Linked DNA regions of Callithrix jacchus. The protein of the gene in region 1 binds, or shares a complex with, the protein of each later gene. Links are inferred from orthologs where the notes say so. Each region holds a gene or a part of one and is shown on either strand. Other genes may lie near its edges. The genes, in order: SNTG1, TRPV3, PTEN and RPS6KA1.

Region 1 (4,999 bases):
TGTCTGTATTAGAAAATTTCCATATCTGAAAGGCCTAAATATTCAGTTCTGCTGTCTGTTGTTTTTATTCATGGTTTTCTCCTGATGAACTTTATGAAGTTTTATTTCCTTATATCCTTGGTTATTTTTATTCTGTTCCAAGAGACGATTCTTATGAAAATCTATTGACACATGTAATATTATTGTCATCCAGAAAGGATTTCCATTTTCTTTAGTCAGGAGCCAGAGAGAACTCCAGGATCATCATAAACCATTTCAAGCCTGACATTCTCTGCATCATTTCAGTGGCTCAAATCTGAGCTCCAGTCTTTGCAAGGGCTTGATGACTTCTGCTTTAACTTTGTTATTAGGACGTTATTATTCTGGTCCTAACTAAAAGCAGAGCATGTTTACTAAGACCTTCACACGTGGAGAATCCTGGACTTTAATATTTTGTTCCAAACCTGTAAGATTCCCCAGTGTAGCTGAGTGCCTCATGTGACATTTCTGTATAGGAAGTGGTTACACGGCAAAAACCGATCCCACATTTGTATCAATGATTAACCTCTGTCAATTTTCATATTACTGTAATTTTTTCCTGGTTGTTCTTTAATACCCTATAAAATATCTAGTGCGTTAAGCATATTTTTTCCAGTTTCCTAAGGTAACACTAGATGGTAGGTTGTCGATATTCTCTAGTATGCAAGTGCTGGAAGGGTAAACTGTCATATGCTTTCATTTTTAACTCGTGTAATTATTTTGACACATTGAATATTTATTAAAGCAAGTCATCCTTCTCTTTATGGGATGGTTATCTATTACACTCATTTACTCTTTCAAAACTGTCATGTTATCTGATCATATACGCAATACAAAATCATCAGTTATTATAGCTGGTTCTTATTATGTTATTATTAACCATGAAGTCTCTGTGTAATGCATATGTCAGCAATCTAAAAGATTACAGAATACATTAGATAATTAGAAGAGCAAGCCATCTTGGTTCAAATTCAAATTCTAACTTGTACCAAGTTTCATTCATTTGTTAAGCTAATTAATTTAACTCACAATCCCTTAATATATTAATTCAAGGACTTTATAGCTCAGAGCCTTATTGTAAGACAAACTGAGATAATGAGATGGTGAACAGTCTAAGTATTTTAGAGGGTAAATATAATTTATAGAAAGAAGATGGGATCTGTGAATAGACAATAGTAATATTCCAAAACTTGCATGTCAAATTCTTGCATTGTTATCTGCCAGTTGTTACCACATTAATGCTGGACAACAACCCACCCCCATTCTAGCTGAAATACAACAATAAGTATTTCTTTCTCTCTGAAAGTGAACTGTTTGTGGTTAGCCACCAGCATGAAGCTAGCTGGGCTTGGTCCTGCTGTTAAGCTGGGCTCTGGTCTGCTGTGTTGTTCCTATCCTAGGTATGAGCTTTTCATGGTAATGGCAAAAGCATGAGACACTAAACTAACTCAATTTGTATCATGTTCATTAACATTCTATTGATGATAGAAGGTCTTAGGAGACAAAAAACAAAAAGAAAAAAATGTTTAGGGCGGGCAATTACCTCTGCCAACCATAAAGCCAATATAAATCATATAAAGTGGGGCATACAGCCTTGCACATAGAGCTGTGATGAGAAAGAAATGGAATGCCACATGAATATGTTGTTAGAAATGTCATTAATGATTTATTAAGTGTTTATGTATATGTTTGACTCTTACAAAAATCAGATCATAAACAGAGGAGTGGCTTATCTCACAAAATCTTCATCTGGAAATCGATCCACCTAGATTTAAGTGCTAGCGGCTAAGGAGTTAGTTTTAATGCCACTCAATATAGGAATAGACTAGCATAAATTGTATTCATGGGAAATCAGGGGTTAAAGGGGGACAGTTGTAATTCTCGCCTGGCAGGCACAGTGGAGAAGTGCGGCACCTCCCTCGTGGTAATGCCACAGATGTCTCTCTGACCTGCTTCCCTTGCTCACTTTAACATTGTGTATTGAAGCAGATTCCCAGTTAATAAAATGTCAGTGATGGGTAAACAGGTGGGATCCATCAATGAATTCTATTACAAATAAACCTTTTTCTGTAAGAATTGGTAGAGTGGGAAATACAATCCATGGTAGGTTGGATGGTATAAATAAACCCTGGATAAATGCTGATGGAAACAGATAAGAAATTCTCATGAGTGATTTACATTCATTTACTGAAGATAAATCTTGTTTAATGTACTTTATTGCATCTATCAATGTGATAATTTCATGTGAGGTTATAATACTGCATGAAAAATATCTAAAGTATTTTTGATATTTATATCTAAATATCTTTTAGACATAAAATATCTAAAATAAAAAGTTTTTGACAGTCAATTGTATTCCATTTTCTTGCAGATTGTCTACATGGGCTGGTGTGAGGCCCGGGAGCAAGACCCCCTTCAGGACAGAGTGTATTCCCCGACCTTCCTGGCCCTACGGGGCTCGTGTCTGTACAAGTTTCTGGCACCTCCAGTAAGCGTTTTATCGAAATGTACTGGTCTTTTCCATATTATCACAACAGACTGACACCAACGTAACAACATCCAATAGTATACTATCAATATTTTTAAAAATATGATAGAGAAAAAATAGAAACCAGTTTATCTGATTTAATTTACTAAAAATATATTTTCTGACATTAAACATTTGCTTTATCACCCTGGGAAAGTCTGGAAATTAGTTATTTATAATTGGTGAACCTATAAAATAATGGATCAAATTGAAATGCTGTTAAAAATCCCATGAAGACATGGGAAAGGAGATTTTAAGAAGCATTTTCAAGCATATGTCAGTGTATTTTGTTCATTGAATAGAAGCTAAAGAAATTAATATATCAGAAGTGGAATAAAAAAGAGTAAACTGTTTTAGAGCTCTACGTGAATGAACATGTTTACTAAACTTATTTTCAAAGGATCTTTCGAAAGTGTTTAAAAATGTATTCAGTACTTTAAATTACTAGTAATTTATTATTAGCAAAGAATAATAGGATATCTCAAAATGATAGCATCTTGTCTAGCTGTTATTAAATCTCACTCTAGTGGTAATTCCATAAGATGATGTTAACTCTCAGGTTGTTCGTTTAAAATAGGGGATTCCACACTTGGCAAACATCACAAATACATTCTGGTAAGCTATCATTTATGACAGTCAGACTATATTTATCTATGTTGTACAGGTCTCTCTAGGTAAAATCAATAGCACTTTTATCTTCTGTTATACTCTATGTTAGAGTTACTGAGATTGTATTAAATATGTATAGATACCTACTGGACCTCAAGTCTTGCTTTGGGAAACAGGTTCTTTGCAGCTCAGAAAACACTCAATAAATATTTATTGAATATAAATAGCACATGGCAGACCAGTCTCTTGCGGGTTTAATGATACATAGGATTTAGAAATCATCAGGTCTGACTTGCTGCTGTTTTAAATGTCTGTGTCTACACAGAGTTTAAAGCACTAGGACGACTGGGAAAAATTAATATTTATGTATTTTAGTCTATTCCTACTCCGAATAATTTCTTTGACAAGACAAGTAAATCTATGTTTCTAACCTGAGTGAGTGAAATAACTGCATTGCGCATTCAGTGTGTTTGCAATGTCACAGTCATCCTGAATTTCTTAATATAAATTACGTATATTTAAAAAAATAGAGCTGTGTTGAGCTCTAGTATTCTCTGTATTTAACTGGTAAATAGAGAAAAAAAATTATTTGTTTGTGGAATGTAAATATTTAGTATTTATAGGTAGAGAATATATACATTATTTGAGATTCCTAAGGACACTGGGCAAATGAGAACTGTTGCACATAAATGGTTTGCTGAAAGCATGAGACAAACGGTGACAAACCTTGGAATAGAGGAAACAAGAGTATTATGTAGGGTCCTTTATGAACATAGCTTCACAGATGAGAGACTAAATAGACACATCTCTGAAAGTTTTGCTTATTTTTCACCATATGTATGCAAATCAAATAGAGTGGTAAATAACTTTCTCAAACAAATTACACATTATTTTCTTATCTCTTAAGGTAACCACCTGGGACTGGACAAGAGCAGAGAAAACATTCTCAGTTTATGAGATTATGTGCAAGATCCTCAAGGTATGGTCAGTAATGAGTCAGTATTTGAATGGCTTTTCTTCAGGGAATAGTGCCTCTGGGTTCATAAGTAGCTCACAAAGCAAATGATTTATGGAATGAAAGAAGAGACGAGATAAAGACAAATTAAAGAGAAAGAAAAAACTAGACACAGAAAAGAAAATGCAGATGCACAGACATGCACTGGCACTCAGCTATCTGCTTAAATAACTAGCAAGCAGACTCTGTAGTCCCGCCATGGGTGAGGGAAGAGGGACAAGCTCTGCAGGAGTTCACCGAGGAAGAAGAAAGTTAAGAAAGTTTGGTTGAAAGTAGCTTGAATTTAAATGTCAGTTGTTACCACTATTTTTTAATTCTTTTTTTTTCTCAATAAAATGCAAAAAAAAACAAAGATTTCGGTAAGACCTGGAATTAGAAAATGTAGAAAAGATAAAGATAAAAGCAAAGTTTTGTTGTTTTGCTCTTAATCTCACGCTGGCCCATTTTTTGTGTATGTGAAAGAGCATACGATTGTCATATATCAGTTGAACTTCATGCCATCCACAGGATCATGGCAATAGCAAGCCACCACAAATCCGTAAAATATCACATGGTTTCCATAGAATTTTTTAAAGAATTAAAATTGGAAAAACCTATAAAACCTGAAGACTAATATATATTCATTTTCTATTGTAGGATTTGTACGCTTGGACTCCCCACAGATTGATAATTAAATTCCTGCCTCAGGCTGACCTTGTTTCTGTATCCAAGGGGAACTCATTTCCCTGTGCTTCGTGTTAGCTATTTCTCTTCTGGTTAAAGACTTAGGAGAGTAAAAAGTGCTGAAAAATTTTAAATATAATAGAATACCTCAGAAGTATCTGACAGCA
Region 2 (4,999 bases), on another chromosome or scaffold:
CAAAGATGGTAAACTTGTCCCATCCCTATCACCTCCTCCAGGGCCACACATATATAGGTGTTCAGATTATATGTGTTGATTCATTGAATGGATGAATGGATGGATGGACAGATGGACGGACGGACAGACAAATGGATGAATGGATGGATGGATGGACAGATGGACGGACGGACAAATGGATGGATGGATGGATGGATGGAGGGAGAGATGGATGGACAGACAAATGGATGGATAGATGGATGGAGGGAGGGAGGGAGGGAGGGATGGAGGGAGGGATGGATGGAGAGATGGAAAGATGGTTGGATGAAGGATAGAAGGATGGTCGGTAAGGATGAGTGGGCATGTGAACGAATGAATGAGTGGCTTGTTCCACGAAAGAGAGCAGGTGATTGGATGGGTGATGCTGGTGGAGAGGAGGATGGACATTGAGGGGCTGGGAGGGTAAATGGTGGAGAGTTGGGCAGATGGATAGAGAAGTAGATGGATGGAGTAGGGAGGATAGGCCAGCTTTATTCATTTGTTCCAACTCAGAGAGCTAAGGCTTGGGAAGGAAATGCCTCCCCAAAGCTCCCCAGCTGTAATGGCAGAGCAGACAGGGATGAAGCCCAGGCCCACTGCCGCCTGCCCGCCTTAAGGGACGGTACAGAAGGGCCGAGTGGCCACTCACCTCTTTCACAGAGATGCACGTGGCCCAGATGAGCACAAACATCCTCCCCAAGAGCTGCAGCCACCCCATCTTGTGGGTCAGGGCCAAGGGGTGCGGGAGGGCCTGGGAGGAAGGAGGAAGGGTGGTCAGAATAGGGAGGAAGAAGGGCTGAGCTGGCCCCAACACTAGAGCAGCCGAAACACAGGAAAAACGCTCAAGCCAGGTCAGAGGCCAGCGTGAAACCCCATCTCTGTACAGGTCAAGAGAAGGAAGAGCCACTCCCTGATCCCCACCCTCCCCACCCTTGATGGAAGCCCAGATCTCTACAACAAGGAGTATCATCCAATCCGTGCTAAGCACCCTCATGCTCTACTCCAACAGCCTTTCCAGAACCCTCTGTATCCAAACACTCAACATGGCCTCACAGCACAGTTAATAAAGCCGAGGCTCCGTGCCCCATGTGACGGATGGGAAACCGAGGCCCAGCAGGCAGGGAGTGCTTAGCCCCCTCCCATTTCCTGCAGCCCTCACAGCAGAAATACCCGACCAGTTCTGTATTTAGACAGAGACCCTGGGCTGAGCCTGAGTCTCTGAATTCTCCAACTTCCCCCAACATGGGTCTACCTGGGACTCAGCACCTGGGCCTTAGCCCAGCCAAACACTGGAGACAAACTCAGTTCCCTAGAAAGTGTGAAGGACGACTGGGGGCCCACCCAAATCCCCTGGCCTCCCTGGGGCTCAGTTTCCCCGTCTGCACGTGGGGCAGCTCCAGCTGTGACCACCCACTCTTCCCCCTGCAAGGGGCCCACATACCTCCTCCTCCCGGGGTCGGTAGTATGAGACGAGGGTCAGGGTGATGTTGTAGGAGAAGTAGAAGCAGAAGGACAGAAAGAACATGTACTGGGCAAACTTCTTCCACTTCATTCGCAGCAGCGTGTGCAGCGGCTCCAGAGTCAGCATCTCGTGCCGGTTCTGCGGGGGAAGGCCAGCAGTCACATGGAGGCGAGGGAGGAGGGGGCACCGAGTTCAAAAGGCCGGTGGGAGCTCCCAGTCAGCGTCGCCCTGGGGGAAGGGGCCATGATTACGCCCAGTGGACTGGTTTGGCTGGAAATGCTGGGAGGGTGATGACGGCTCCTGAGGCTCCTCCCCAGGGTGCTTGGGCAGCAAAGGCCGCCAGAGCCCGGGTTTTAGCAGGAGGACCCGAAGCACAGCAGAAAGTGAAGGCTAGAAGTGGGCAGGAGGTGGTGACAGCAGTTCCAGCCCCAATTTGCCCCTCATTCGCTGTGTGACCTCGGGACAGCCTGACCCTCTCTGGGCCTCAGACTCCTCACCTATACAACTGCGAACAATCCCTGTCCTGCCAGCCAGGCTGCTGTGAGGCGCTGGGAAGACCCAAGGCCAGGAGACTCTGAGAAGCACAACTCTTGGTAAAACATGAAGGAGGAATGTTTTGCTGCCCCGCTTCCCCCAAAAGCTGAACACGCTTCACCTGTTAGAGTGGACAGGTGCTCCTGTTCACAGGAGGACAGTGTCCGATGCCTGTCTCACCAGACCCAGGGGATTCCCATCCCATCAGTCAGGAGAGCCCAGGCAGAGAGCTCCTAGGGATAAGGCCAAGTCTCTATATCCCGCACCCCAGCCTATAAACCCTATAAAAGCCCCAGGACAGTGGCCAACCTGGGCAGCATCCAGCTGCTCCTCTCTTCACCTTCATTTGCACCAAACTCTTCCTGCTAGCCTTCTCCAGGAAGGCCCCCCTGATTTCTCCAGCAGTGCACTCTCTGACCCTCATTTGGGACAAGTTTTTGGGAGAGAAAGCATTCTAAGCCTGGTCATATACAGCAACAGGGGATAGGAGAGACAAAATATGTAAAGGATCAGCCCCAACCACCCTTTCGCCCACACCCACACTCACACCCACATCCACACCGCCCTGGATACTGGGTCCAGAAGACCCCCCCAATCACCACCACTCAGGTCTACAGTCCAAGGTCAACCAGGAAGAGTTGGGCCCAGCATCTGTCCCAGGCCTCCCCTTCTGTGTCTGACTCTGCCCACTAAGGCAAAGGAGCGTGGGAGGCAGACATGGCGGGGAGGGCTGGGAGCACTGGGTCTTCCCAGCGTCTGTGAGCCCCTGGCCTGAGGCCCAGCCCTCGGTGCCCTGCCCAGCCTTCCCGAGAGACCCACGTCGATGTTGGTGTTGTAGACAGTGATTTCCAGCACTGAGTTGTCTGTGGTGGTGTCCACGTTGGTGAGGTCGTACAGGGAGGACGACACAGGTCCGTACGCCCAGTCCGTGAACTTCCTGGACAGGCTTCGGAGCCGCTTCTCCTTGATTTCACGACTCAGGATGTACTTCAGGATCTAGGACAGGATGAGGCACAGCCGTCAGCTGCAGAACAGGGGCTGTGGCTAGCAGGGCTGGGCCAGCCAGAGGCAGGCTGGGCCCAGGACAGGTGGAGACCTGCCTTTGCGCCTGGCACGGTGGCCCCGGGGCCCCATCTTTATCTGTGGAACATGCATGAAGCTTGCCATTGTGCCCATCTCATGGGAGGTTGTGAATACCAGGGAAAAAGGTGTGAAGGTTCTGTGCAGGCTGCAGCAAGCTGCACAATCAGCTCGAAATCCTCACACCAGCTGCAGCCCCGGTTCAGTGAAAAATGGAGGCGCTGATGATTTCTTAGAACCAGTTTCCATTTGTTCTGGACTTGAGAAGAAGCCAGAAGTTTTCCCAGCTGCCCCCAGCCCACCCTTAGCCAAGACCCCTCCAGCTGTGGCTCACCACTCTGGCCAGATGGGCGGTGACGATAGGCACCACCCCCTACAGGGAGGCCCATGGGACATTGGTAGGTTAGTGATCTTCGAAACTCTGCTCCGTATTAGGGTCACTGGGAAACAGAAATTCCCATAGCTCACGCCTGCAATCCCAGCACTTTGGGAGGCTGAGGCAGGTGGGTCACTTGAGGTCAGGAGTTCGAGACCAGCCTGGCCAACATGATGAAACCCCATCTCTACCAAAAATATAAAAATAAACTGGGCATGGTGGTGCATGCCTATAATCACAGACTCAGGAGGCTGAAGCAGGAGAATCACTTGAACCTGGGAGACGGAGGTTGCCGCGAGCCGAGATCACACCACTTCACTCCAGCCTGGGCGATGAAGTGAGACTGTCTCAAAAAAAGCCACACGCAGCAGCTCATACCTGTAATCCCAGAACTTTGGGACGCCAAGGCAGGAGGATCACAAGGTCAAGAGATGGAGACCATCCTGGCTAACATGGCAAAACCCCGTCTCCACTAAAAATACAAAAATTAGCTGAGCATGGTGGTGCACACCTTAGTCCCAGCTACTCCGGAAGGCTGAGGCAGGTGAATCACCTGAACCCAGGAGACGGGGGTTGCAGTGAGCCGAGATCGAGCCACTGCACTCTAGCCTGGCAACAGAGCAAGACTCTGTCTCAAAAAAACAAAAACAAAAACAAAAAAAACCCCACAGCATCAGTTAATGAACTGGAAATCTCTAGGGTGGGATCTGGAGTCTATTTTTCAAAGCTTCCTGGGTGAATCCAAGTGCAGGGATCAGATTTTGGATGCAGAGCTGCTGCTCTCTGGCTTCTTACCTCCTGAAAGGTGAGCCCTGGGTCACCCCAGGATGGGGACATGGGCTTCCTAGGGCACCAACTCAAGACCCAAGAGGAAGGGACTGCTGGGAAGGACAGCGTCCAAGGCCTGGTCTCAGCTGACCCAGGGGGTTCCATCCCGTCTGTCATGAGAGCCCAGCCAGAGAGCTCCTAGGGATAAGGCCAAGTCTCTCTGTCCCGCACCCCAGCCTGTAAAAGCCCAAGGACGGTGGGCAACCTGGGCAGCATCCAGAAAAGTTTTCTGGAGGACATGGAACAGAGGAGGGGAGCAGCGGACAGGTGCCTCCCCCAGGCTGGCCACAGCGGGCACACTGTGAGCCTAGAGAACAAGGGCTCCTGGGGCCATGCTTCATGCAGGAAGCCTCCTCCCTGGGCTGGGGCGGCAGGCACAGCACACACCACAGTGGCACACAGGGAAGCTGGCCTTGGAGAAAGCTCCATCTGCAACCACAAGCTGACTCCTCAAAGCCTCGGCAAACTGTGGCCCTGAGGGTGGGCAGAAGTCGCGGGGAGGCAGCCACACAATCCCTCCTCTGTTGAAGCCTTTTTCCAGCTCCTCCTCCCCCACGGGAGAATAAAAAGGGCCCTTGTGGGGCCCAGCCCTGGCCACTTGGGACAGGACCAAGACCCTCAGGGCAGCTGACGGGGGTGGGTACCCCGAGGCTGGCACCGCTGTGATTACTCAATAGCCACCCCCCCCCCCAGCGTCCTCC
Region 3 (4,999 bases), on another chromosome or scaffold:
TGTACTTTTAGTAGAGACAGGGTTTCACTGTGTTAGTCAGGATGGTCTTGATCTCCTGACCTCATGATCCACCCGCCTTGGCCTTCCCAGGTGCTGGGATTACAGGCATGAGCCACCATGCCCAGCCTACATTAGAATAAAAGATTTAAATGGCATTTTAAGGTACCAGAAAAGATGCCATGAGGCTGTACATCATTAATTGCCAAAAGATTCATACAGGCCAGATTTCTATGTTGGTCAATGAAGGTTTAAAGTGACGAACTTTGGTTGTGGTTTTTTATTAAGAAGATATTATCTTATTAGTAAAAAGTGATTTTTTTAAGAACAGACATTTTATAACATAAAAATAAATCAGTGGTACTCTTCCCTACCCCCTCATATTTATTTTGAAAGTATTCAAGCATATATTGTCATGTAAGAAAATGGAGCTTCTCAGCCAGGTGCGGTGGCTCACACCTGTAATCCCAGGACTTTGGGAGGCTGAGGCAGGAGGATTACCTGAGGTCAGGAGTTTGAGACCAGCCTGGCCAACAAGGTGCAAAATTCCATTTCTACTAAAAATAGAAAAATTAAGCTGTGCAGGTGGCTCACGCTTGTAATCCCAGCACTTTGGGAGGCCGAGGTGGGCGGATCACGAGGTCAGGAGATTGAGACCATCCTGGCTAACTAAACCCCATCTCTACTAAAAATACAAAAAATTAACTGGGCATGGTGGGGCATGCCTGTAATCCCAGCTACTTGGGAGGCTGAGGCAGGAGAATTGCTTGAACCCCGAGGTGGAGGTTGCAGTGAGCCAAGATTGCGCCGTTGCACTGCAACCAGGACAGTAAGAGTGAAACAACATCTCAAAAAAAAAAAAACCAAACAAACAATGGAGCCTCATGTTTGTATTGCTGTAGAGATAAACATGTATTTGCCGTGCATCATCAGGGAAGTTGCACTTACCTTCCAAGAACTTTTGTTAAGGTAAATCTTGGAATATTTAGCTCTTTTGAAATTCAGAAAAAATTAAATTCATATCTGAATTTTGTTTATATGTATGCACACATAAAACAAAACCATTTTTAAAGCTAGTATTAGATTAGAAAAGAGGTTTTTTGCTTAAAATTTTAAGACAAAAGTAATTTATCTTAGATTTTGCAAGATTATATTTTTGATTTAAAATTTGAGTGACAAAAAATCATGTAACAAAAATGCAACAGAAAACTCAGATTGCCATATAATAGTCTTAGTGTTTACCTTTTTTGAATATATCAAATGATAGTTTATTTTGTTGACTTGTTGGCAAATGTTTAATATGGGTAACATTTTTTTAAAGAGTAAAATATTAAAATAAATAATTTTCTTTCTCTTTTTTTTTTTTTTTTTAGGACAAAATGTTTCACTTTTGGGTAAATACATTCTTCATACCAGGACCAGAAGAAACCTCAGAAAAAGTAGAAAATGGAAGTCTATGTGATCAAGAAATTGATAGCATTTGCAGTATAGAACGTGCAGATAATGACAAGGAATATCTAGTACTTACTTTAACAAAAAATGATCTGGATAAAGCAAATAAAGACAAAGCCAACCGATACTTTTCTCCAAATTTTAAGGTCAGTTAATTAAACATTTTGTAGGGGTTGATGATTTGTGTATATGTGATATGTGTTTAATTCTAGGTGTACAGCTGATAAAGAACTTGCTTGACAAGTTCTTAAATTATGTATTATTTAGAAGCAGTGTTTATGTACCAGTAACATGAAAGTTTTTAATAAAATACCCGATGTACACAGAGTCAGAAAAGCTGCATTTTTCCTTTTCCCAATTCATTGTTGTTGTTTGGTGAAATCTGAAGCAAAGGTACAGGAGGGGGGTTAAATGACTGGGATATGAAGTAGGAATGGAAGAGGAAAGAAATGGATGGAAACTCAGTCATTTGGGAATGATTCATATGGAAGTTTTTACTGCTTCCACTCCTGTCTCCCTTCCAATTTATTCTCAACCCCTGAAAGTGGCCTTAAAAATAGGTTTAATTATGTCACTTCTGTTTTCACTTTATAAAGACCTTGGGTTTTTTGTTTTTTTTACCATGACCTACAAGGACCAGCATAATTTAGCACAGGCCTACCTCCTACATCAGCCCTAGTCACCTTCTCTCCTTGCTTCTTGAGATTCAGACATACTGGTCTCTCTTCAGTTCTGCAAAATGCTAACTTCTGCCTCTAATCTTTCCAGTTCTTTTCCTTCTCCCTGTACCTTTCTATCCCAGCCTTTTCCCTGTCCTTCACATAGCTGTCTTCATATTTCCAGCCTTAGCTTCAATCTCATATCTCTGATTGTCCTCCCCTGTTATGCTTCTTAAAAGATCCTATTTCCTTATTTTGTGTCTTAGAATTATTTGGTTTGTCTCATTTTTGTCTATATGTGATACGTATATTTGTACCTAGGTATATATATCTACTTATAGACAAGAATTCTTCAAATTGAAAAACTCTGATTTGTAAAACATTCCAAAATGGTTATTGGCCATTTTTTTCTTCTGCTTTCCTATTTCTTATTCTACCTGATTTCCCCCTGTCCATTCACCATACTCTTTTCTTTCTCTTTTTTACTCTCGCTCTTAATTTTTCACTCAGTTTTTATAATATGTAACAAATCTATAGCTTCTGAGTATTAAGAATATTGCTAGTAATATTTTGCCTATAATCCTAGCACTTTGTGAGGCTGAGGCGGGTGGATCACTTGAGGCCAAGAGTTTAAAAGGCCAGTATGGTGAAACCCTGTCTGTACTAAAAATACAAACCTTAGCTGGGTGTGTGTCCCACATCTGTAATCCCAGCTACTTGGGAGGCTGAGGCATGAGACTCGCTTAAGCCTGGGAGGCAGAGGTTGCAGCAAGCCGAGATCACGCTGGTGCACTTCAGCCTGGGTGACAGAGTGAGACTCTGTCTCCCCGCCAAAAAAAAAAAATTGCTAGTAATAGTAATACTTAAAAATCAGTAAAGGGGCCCCTACATGTTTTAAGTGAAAATAGATCTAATATTAAATGCCTTTAGCTCTTAAATTTAAGTGTTGAGAAGTTTCCCTTTTTAAAAAAATTTTAATATATAATAATTATACATATTTATGGGATACAGAGTGATATTTTCATGTATGCAGTGTGTGATGATCAAATCAGGGTAATTAGCATATGGATTACCTCAAACATTTGTTATTTTTTTGTGTTGGGAACATTCAAAATTCTATCTTCTAGCTATTTGAAAATAGACAATAAATTATTGTTGACTCGTTACAGTTCTGTAGAACACTATAATTTATTCCTCCTATCTGTAATTTTTAATCTTTTAACCAACATCTTCCTATCCTCCCCTCTCCCTCCCTTCCAAGCCTCTAATAACCACACTCCTATGAGCTCAACTTTTTGAGCTCCCATATGTGAGTGAGAACATGCAGTATTGATCTTTCTGTACCTGACTGATTTTACTTAACATCATTTCCTCCAGGAAAGACATTTTCTTTAAAATCTACAGGTTTCCTTTGTTTTCTCTAAATCTGCATTTTGCTTAACCATTAACCTTTAAACTATCTTTTCCTTCTAGTTTTATTGTTTTCTGTTTTAATATTGCAAGATTTTTATATTTGTGATTACAAATAAAAGCTCTGTTATTAGTAAACAAATACAATGTCATATTGTGGTAAGTGCTATAAAAATAGAGAGAATAATCTTGGTTTGTGTGTTTTTTGTTTTTTAGCTAGGATGATTAGAGAAGGCCCAACCAAGCACATAATATTTAAGCAGAGCCTAAATCATATGAGTGAGTTATGCAAATATCTGGGAAAAGAGGGAAGAGTAGAGATGCAAAAGCCTTTAGGCAAGGAGCTTGGTGTATTTGAAGAGTGGATAAGTCATTTTGACTAAAACAGAGTAGACAAGAAAACCAGTCCATGTGTAAAGATACTTGTGTGTGTTCAGCATAGGAAGGATATAATCTGAATTTTGCATTTAATACTCCCTGTGTTTATGCTTTCAAAATATAGATAAGTGAGGAAAGTAGGGAGAAGGGGTAATAATTAAAGCTGAGAGATAGTTGAGGCACTTGAATAGTTTAGTAAAGGTGAGAGATGATGTTTTCTTCTTGTTGCCCTTCACTGCTTAGAATAGTGGCAGTGAAAGGTAACAAGAAGCTGTCAGATTAACTAAAAGGGTTTACTGATGGAGTGGATGTTGGTTGTAAGAGAAGAATAATTGATAATGACTCTTGGATAATAGGGAGGGGCTGTCAATATAATACAATGAAGAAGGGATTTGAAGTCAGATCTGATTTACATCTCAAATCTACTACCTACTATTTATAGATATGTGGCCTTTAACAAGTTCCCTAACCTTTCTGGGCCTTAGCTACCTCTCCTTGAAAACGGAAATACCTAACATATAGGGTTATTTTGACAGTTATTTTCACTATGCATGTAAAGGCCCTTGGCTCTCTGTTTAGACCACGTTATGAGGTTACTGTCCCTCTCCTTCCTTCCTTTAGGTGAAGTTTTTAGGGCTCATAAATTCTAAATATCAGTGTTGATCAGTAGTTTGTGTGTGTGTAGTGTTTATATCAAAAAATACATTGAAGTCGGGCACAGTGGCTCACGCCTAAAATCCCAACACTTTGGGAGGCCAAGGTAGGCAAATCACCTGAACTAAGGAGTTTGAGACCAGCCTGGGTAACATGGTGAAACCCTGTCTCTCCAAAAAAATATATAAAAAGTAAACTAGCTGGGGGTGGTGGCATGTACCCATAGTCCCAGGTACTTGGAAGGCTGAGGTGGGGGGTCACTTGAGCCTGGGAGTTCGAGGCTGCAGTGAGCTGTGAAGGTGCCACTGCATTCTAGCCTGGGTGACAGAGCAAGACCCTGTCTCAAAAAAAACAAAAAGAAAAAGAAAGAGGAAAAGAAAAAAAAAGAAAAGGAAAGGAAGGAAGGAAAAGAAAAAAGAAGAGAGGGAAGGAAGGAATTGATTTTTAGG
Region 4 (4,999 bases), on another chromosome or scaffold:
TTTTTTTTTTTTGAGACAGAGTCTCACTGTCACCAAGGCTGGAGTGCAGTAGCACAACCTCAGCTCACTCCAACCTCCACCTCCCGGGTTCAAGCGATTCTCCTGCCTCAGCCTCCCCAATAGCTGAGACTACAGGCACGTACCACCACACCTGGCAAATTTTTTATTTTTAGTAGAGACATGGTTTCACAATGTTGACCAGGCTGGTCTTGAACTCCTGACCTCATGTGATCCACCCATCTCAGCCTCCCAAAGTGTTCAGATTACAGGCATGAGCTACCTTGCCTGACCACACAACTTTTATTCTTTAAAAAAAAAAAAAGCAGATGTGAAGGGTAGCCACCCAGACACAAATCTATGCATGGTTCAGGATTTTAGGCCCAGGAAATCTGCCTCTCTAGCTCCCCAGGTAGCTGTTCTTACCAGCCTCCAGACTAGAATTTGGGAATTTTTATGCCACATGGAGAGCGGGGCTGGTGAAGACATGCCAGGACGAGGTGCAGAGGCAAAGTCTGAGGATCTGAAAAAACAGGGCACCCAGAGGAGCAGGTTGCTCAGACTGGCTGATTAACAGCCCTTGATGGGGAGTGGTGGGAGAAGGGACCAGAGCAATGGGCCGGGCTCCAAGGCCCCAGCTGTGGGCACTGCTGTGAGGGGTGGGGGCAAAGAGCCTACCTGGCTCCTGGGAAGGAAGGAAGAAACCTGAGGATTGAGTGTCCCCAAAGCCCTGAGTGAAGGGGCCTTAGGAGCTCAGATGTGGAGGAACAAGTGGAAAAGAGAGCCCTTAGTAGGGACTTGGGAGTGGCTGTGTTGAGTGTCTAGCTTCCTGGTGACTTCCTTTCTTGTCTATTCAGTACGTGACCGCGTTCGGACCAAGATGGAGAGAGACATCCTGGCTGATGTAAACCACCCATTTGTGGTGAAGCTGCACTATGGTAAAGCTGCAGGCCCCATCCCACTCATCCTTCACCCTTGCCTGTGGGTCTGTACACTGTCCCACCGCCTGCCTGGCAGGCCAAGGGAGACCGGGCTGGAGGAGCAGGTCACAAGGTCCCACTGACTCTACCATTGCCTTTTTCCCTCTCCCCAGCCTTCCAGACCGAGGGCAAGCTTTATCTCATTCTGGACTTCTTGCGTGGTGGGGACCTCTTCACACGGCTCTCAAAAGAGGTGAGCTGACATCTACTGCCAAAGAGCCCCGGGATAGAGCTGGGGAACGACAAGGCCCATCCAGGGCCCTGTACAGAATGTGTTCAATATGGCCTGAACCTGGAACCACCCAGGCCTGCCTAGCAGCCCCTGGCCTAGGAAATACCACTCACCCTGGGATGGAGGCCATATGCTGGCAGGGCCACTGAGAGTTTCTCCCAACAAAACTCTGGGGAGCTAAGGTTTCCTCTCACCTAAGCACGTGCATTCTTCCAGGGCTGCTCTGGACAGAGCTGTGAAGATTGAGGAGAAGCCCAAAGTCACCCAGAGAGCCAGAGACTCTAGCAGTCATGTCCCACATGTCATCCAAAAGGATTTTGAACCAGTAGAAAAGGATTTGAGCTAGAAAATGAGACCATTCATACAATTCAGACTTTGAAGAGAACCCAACTTTTAAAAAAGTTTTAAATTGTTATTTTAATGTGTGAATAGGTAATCTATATGATTCAAAATAAAAAAATATTCATGAAGAAGTCTTCCTCCCACCCCAGCCCCTCTATCCTCATCCATAGGTAAACATTTTTTTTATTGGTTTCTTTTTTTTTTTTTTAATAGAGACAGGGTTTCTCCATGTTGGTCAGGCCGGTCTCGAACTGACCTCAGGTGATCCACCCGCCTTGGCCTCCCAAAGTGCTGGGATTACAGGTGTGAGCCACTGTGCTGAGCTTTTTATTGGTTTCTTGTTTAACCTTCCCATGTTTCTTTTGCAAACAAATTCGATATATGTTCTGAATTCCTACCCCCACTTTCTTACGTAAAAAGTACTATTCTATATACATTGTTCTGTACCTTGATTTTTTTCAAGATAGTATATCTTGGAGCTCGCTCCATATCAGGACATGGAGAAAATCTTTGTTCTAGGTAATGGCTGCAAAGCACTCCATTATGCAGGAGAGACAGCTTATTCCCGCTTTTCCAGCCCTTTCTATTTCTGAACAATGCCACAATGAGTGACTTGCAGCTTAGTCATTTCATATTTCAAATCCTCTTGCGACAAGAAGGCTAAATGGCCTGGGTCCTCCCAGGGTGGCCCCTCAGGACCAGGAAGCTGCTGACTACCCAGTGCCCAGCTTTTAAGGAAAAGGAGGTCTCTGCTGAAGCCCCCTCCTGTCTGTTGCAGGTGATGTTCACAGAAGAGGATGTGAAGTTTTACCTGGCCGAGCTGGCCCTGGGCCTGGACCACCTGCACAGCCTGGGTATCATTTACAGAGACCTCAAGCCTGAGAAGTGAGTGAAGCCTCCATCCCCACCCAGTCTCCCCAGGGGAGGCCTCTTCTAGAACAGGGCCATCCTGAGGTGGGTGGACATGGCTTTCTCCAGGAACGTCCCCCTCTCTTGGGCAATCTGAGGAATGGGTGAGTGGGGTGGGTGGTAGTGGCAGCTGCCCAGTCACTAATGCTATCATTACCAAGGGCCAGGTACATTCCAAGCAGGTATGTTTCCCACCTTTTTTGCTAATTTAGTGTGACATCTGAGATGCTGCTACCTTTAAAGGTCTTTCCTTGATATAACCCTCTAGAATTTTCCCTAATAGCTAACTATCCTTGGCCAGGTGCAGTGGCTCATGCCTGTAATCCCAGCACTTTGGGAGGCTGAGGCAGGCAGATCAGCTGAGGTCAGGAGTTTGAGACCAGCCTGACCAACATGGAGAAACCCTGTCTCTACAAAAAATATAAAATTAGCTAGGCGTGGTGGCACATGCCTATAATCCCAGCTACACGGGAGGCTAAGGCAGGAGAATCACTTGAACCTGGGAGGTGGAGGTTGTGGTGAGCTGAGATTGTGCCATTGCACTCCAGCCTGGACAACAAGAGTGAAACTCTGTCTCAAAAAAAAAAGTGTGTGTGTCTGTATATATATATAGTTAAATGATAACTAAGGAGCCAGGGGCAGGTGGTGAGTTGGGGAATAAGATCTGGCTTTAGTGTTAGGCAGCCCTGTATTCAAATCCTGTCTCCACCTACTAGCTAGACTTACCAGCTCCATGACTGTAGAGCTACTTAACTGCCCTGAGCCCTAGTTTCCTCATTTGCAAAATGGAGCCCTAATAGTACCTACCTCACACAGTTGTTTCAAGAATTAGCAAAAATGATAGGCAACATACCTGCATGACACTGCCATCACCCTGCAACACCCACCCGGTCATCGGGGAGAACTGGGCGGAGCAGCTCCTCTGGGCTGAGCCCAGCTCCCACAGCCCTGTGGTGACACCACCACCCACACAGTGGCCACAGCTGAGGGGCCCTGACCCCCATTCCTCTATTACAGCATCCTTCTGGATGAGGAGGGTCACATCAAACTCACTGGTGAGTGGAGGACGCCTGCCCTTTTGGGCCCCAGGGGAGGGCAGAACAAGGTCCTGATAGGTCTGGGCTGAGTGCTGGGGGCTCATTCTTCCCGAGAGGCTGTGCCAGTTACTTGGAAGTGGTCAGAAACCCAGGCCTCAGACTTGGAACACCCTCGGTTGGAATCTCAGCCCCTCATTGTGTAACGTTGGGGAAGTCACCTGACCTCTCAGGGCCTTAGCTTCCTCCTGAGTGTCATGAGGGTTATGCCTTCCAGCCTCTGGGCACAGGGGTTGGGTGTGCAATGGGTGTCAGCAAGGAAGGCAGGGATCCTGAGATGTGTCCTCCTGCCCTCCTTGCTGTAGACTTTGGCCTGAGCAAGGAGGCCATTGACCACGAGAAGAAGGCCTACTCCTTCTGCGGGACAGTGGAGTACATGGCCCCCGAGGTCGTCAACCGCCAGGGCCACTCCCACAGTGCGGATTGGTGGTCCTATGGGGTATTGATGGTGAGTGCCCAGACAGGGATAAAGGATCCCACCCAAGCCTCTGGCCTCAGTCTCCCCGTCTGTACAGTGAGGGGGTTGATCATCTCTAGGGCTTTCCTCGTCTCCTCTCACAGCCATGCTGGCCTCACCCTACACGCAGCTGCAGTTTTCTTTCTTGGAAGGATCCCAGGCTTGACCCCATCTGGGACACGCCTAACTCAGTGCTGGGCTTCTCCCCAGCCTCGTGCCCCCACTGCTGCACCTACCTGGTGGTCTGGTTGTTGAGGCAAGAGGGACAGACATAATTCTTGCTCCAGGTGGACTTGGATGATCCTGGGACTAGGGCAGAGGGGCCTAGATGGGAGGAGGTGGGAGGTGTGGGGGAGTCAGGGATCAGCGCCTAAATAGACCCTTGTCCTCTGCAGTTTGAGATGCTGACGGGCTCCCTGCCCTTCCAGGGGAAGGACCGGAAGGAGACCATGACATTGATTCTGAAGTAAGCCCCAGCCCTGCCCTGATAACAATGGACTCTCCTGGCCGGGCGCAGTGGCTCACGCCTATAATCCCAGCACTTTGGGAGGCTGCAGGCGGGTGGATCACGAGGTCAAGAGATCGAGACCATCCTGGTCAACATGGTGAAACCCTGTCTCTACTAAAAATACAAAAATTAGCTGGGCATGGTGGTACACGTCTGTAGTCCCAGCTACTCGGGAGGCTGAGGCAAGAGAATTGCTTGAGCCCAGGAGGTGGAGGTTGCGGTGAGTCGAGATCGGGCCATTGCACTCCAGCCTGGGTAACGAGTGAAACTCTGTTTCAAAAAAAAAACAAACAACAATAGACTCTCCCAAGCGGCCCAGTCGGGGTCAGAATATTACCCTGTCCCTGCCTCAGATTCCCTCACTAATGAGACACTCCTCTGGATTAAATATTACACCTTCCAGGATGGGCGCAGTGGCTCCCGCCTGTAATCCCAGCACTTTAGGAGGCTGAGGCAGGCGGATCACAAGGTTAGGAGTTT

What was found.
Region 2: the proteins of SNTG1 (region 1) and TRPV3 are in contact, whole or in part, in a crystal structure (PDB 7QQN), measured with the Homo sapiens proteins. The link is inferred for Callithrix jacchus from reciprocal best matches to the Homo sapiens genes SNTG1 and TRPV3. Residues at the interface, in NP_001274742.1 of Homo sapiens: Arg62, Gly66, Gly67, Phe68, Gly69, Leu70, Ser71, Ile72, Lys73, Gly74, His78, Ser85, Lys86, His118, Glu119, Val122, Arg126; in NP_659505.1 of Homo sapiens: Pro786, Glu787, Thr788, Ser789, Val790.
Region 3: the proteins of SNTG1 (region 1) and PTEN are in contact, whole or in part, in a crystal structure (PDB 7PC7), measured with the Homo sapiens proteins. The link is inferred for Callithrix jacchus from reciprocal best matches to the Homo sapiens genes SNTG1 and PTEN. Residues at the interface, in NP_001274742.1 of Homo sapiens: Gly67, Phe68, Gly69, Leu70, Ser71, Ile72, Lys73, Gly74, Glu77, His78, Ser85, Lys86, Ile87, Ser88, His118, Val122, Leu125, Arg126; in NP_000305.3 of Homo sapiens: Asp395, Gln396, His397, Thr398, Gln399, Ile400, Thr401, Lys402, Val403.
Region 4: the proteins of SNTG1 (region 1) and RPS6KA1 are in contact, whole or in part, in a crystal structure (PDB 7PC8), measured with the Homo sapiens proteins. The link is inferred for Callithrix jacchus from reciprocal best matches to the Homo sapiens genes SNTG1 and RPS6KA1. Residues at the interface, in NP_001274742.1 of Homo sapiens: Gly67, Phe68, Gly69, Leu70, Ser71, Ile72, Lys73, Gly74, His78, Ile80, Ser85, His118, Glu119, Val122, Leu125, Arg126, Arg141; in NP_002944.2 of Homo sapiens: Arg728, Lys729, Leu730, Pro731, Thr733, Thr734, Leu735.

What each region holds. Positions count from the first base shown.
Region 1 is NC_133517.1:3,933,873-3,938,871, reverse strand, and holds part of SNTG1 (gamma-1-syntrophin), read left to right. Parts: intron 1-2,389; coding exon 2,390-2,506; intron 2,507-4,061; coding exon 4,062-4,133; intron 4,134-4,999. UniProt on the Homo sapiens protein: Adapter protein that binds to and probably organizes the subcellular localization of a variety of proteins. May link various receptors to the actin cytoskeleton and the dystrophin glycoprotein complex.
Region 2 is NC_133506.1:67,078,864-67,083,862, forward strand, and holds part of TRPV3 (transient receptor potential cation channel subfamily V member 3), read right to left. Parts: intron 3,011-4,999; coding exon 2,834-3,010; intron 1,619-2,833; coding exon 1,460-1,618; intron 770-1,459; coding exon 668-769; intron 1-667. UniProt on the Homo sapiens protein: Non-selective calcium permeant cation channel. It is activated by innocuous (warm) temperatures and shows an increased response at noxious temperatures greater than 39 degrees Celsius. Activation exhibits an outward rectification.
Region 3 is NC_133513.1:80,554,723-80,559,721, forward strand, and holds part of PTEN (phosphatidylinositol 3,4,5-trisphosphate 3-phosphatase and dual-specificity protein phosphatase PTEN), read left to right. Parts: intron 1-1,370; coding exon 1,371-1,595; intron 1,596-4,999. UniProt on the Homo sapiens protein: Dual-specificity protein phosphatase, dephosphorylating tyrosine-, serine- and threonine-phosphorylated proteins.
Region 4 is NC_133508.1:63,199,215-63,204,213, forward strand, and holds part of RPS6KA1 (ribosomal protein S6 kinase alpha-1), read left to right. Parts: intron 1-854; coding exon 855-935; intron 936-1,090; coding exon 1,091-1,170; intron 1,171-2,329; coding exon 2,330-2,436; intron 2,437-3,477; coding exon 3,478-3,515; intron 3,516-3,859; coding exon 3,860-4,002; intron 4,003-4,406; coding exon 4,407-4,477; intron 4,478-4,999. UniProt on the Homo sapiens protein: Serine/threonine-protein kinase that acts downstream of ERK (MAPK1/ERK2 and MAPK3/ERK1) signaling and mediates mitogenic and stress-induced activation of the transcription factors CREB1, ETV1/ER81 and NR4A1/NUR77, regulates translation through RPS6 and EIF4B phosphorylation, and mediates cellular proliferation, survival, and differentiation by modulating mTOR signaling and repressing pro-apoptotic function of BAD and DAPK1.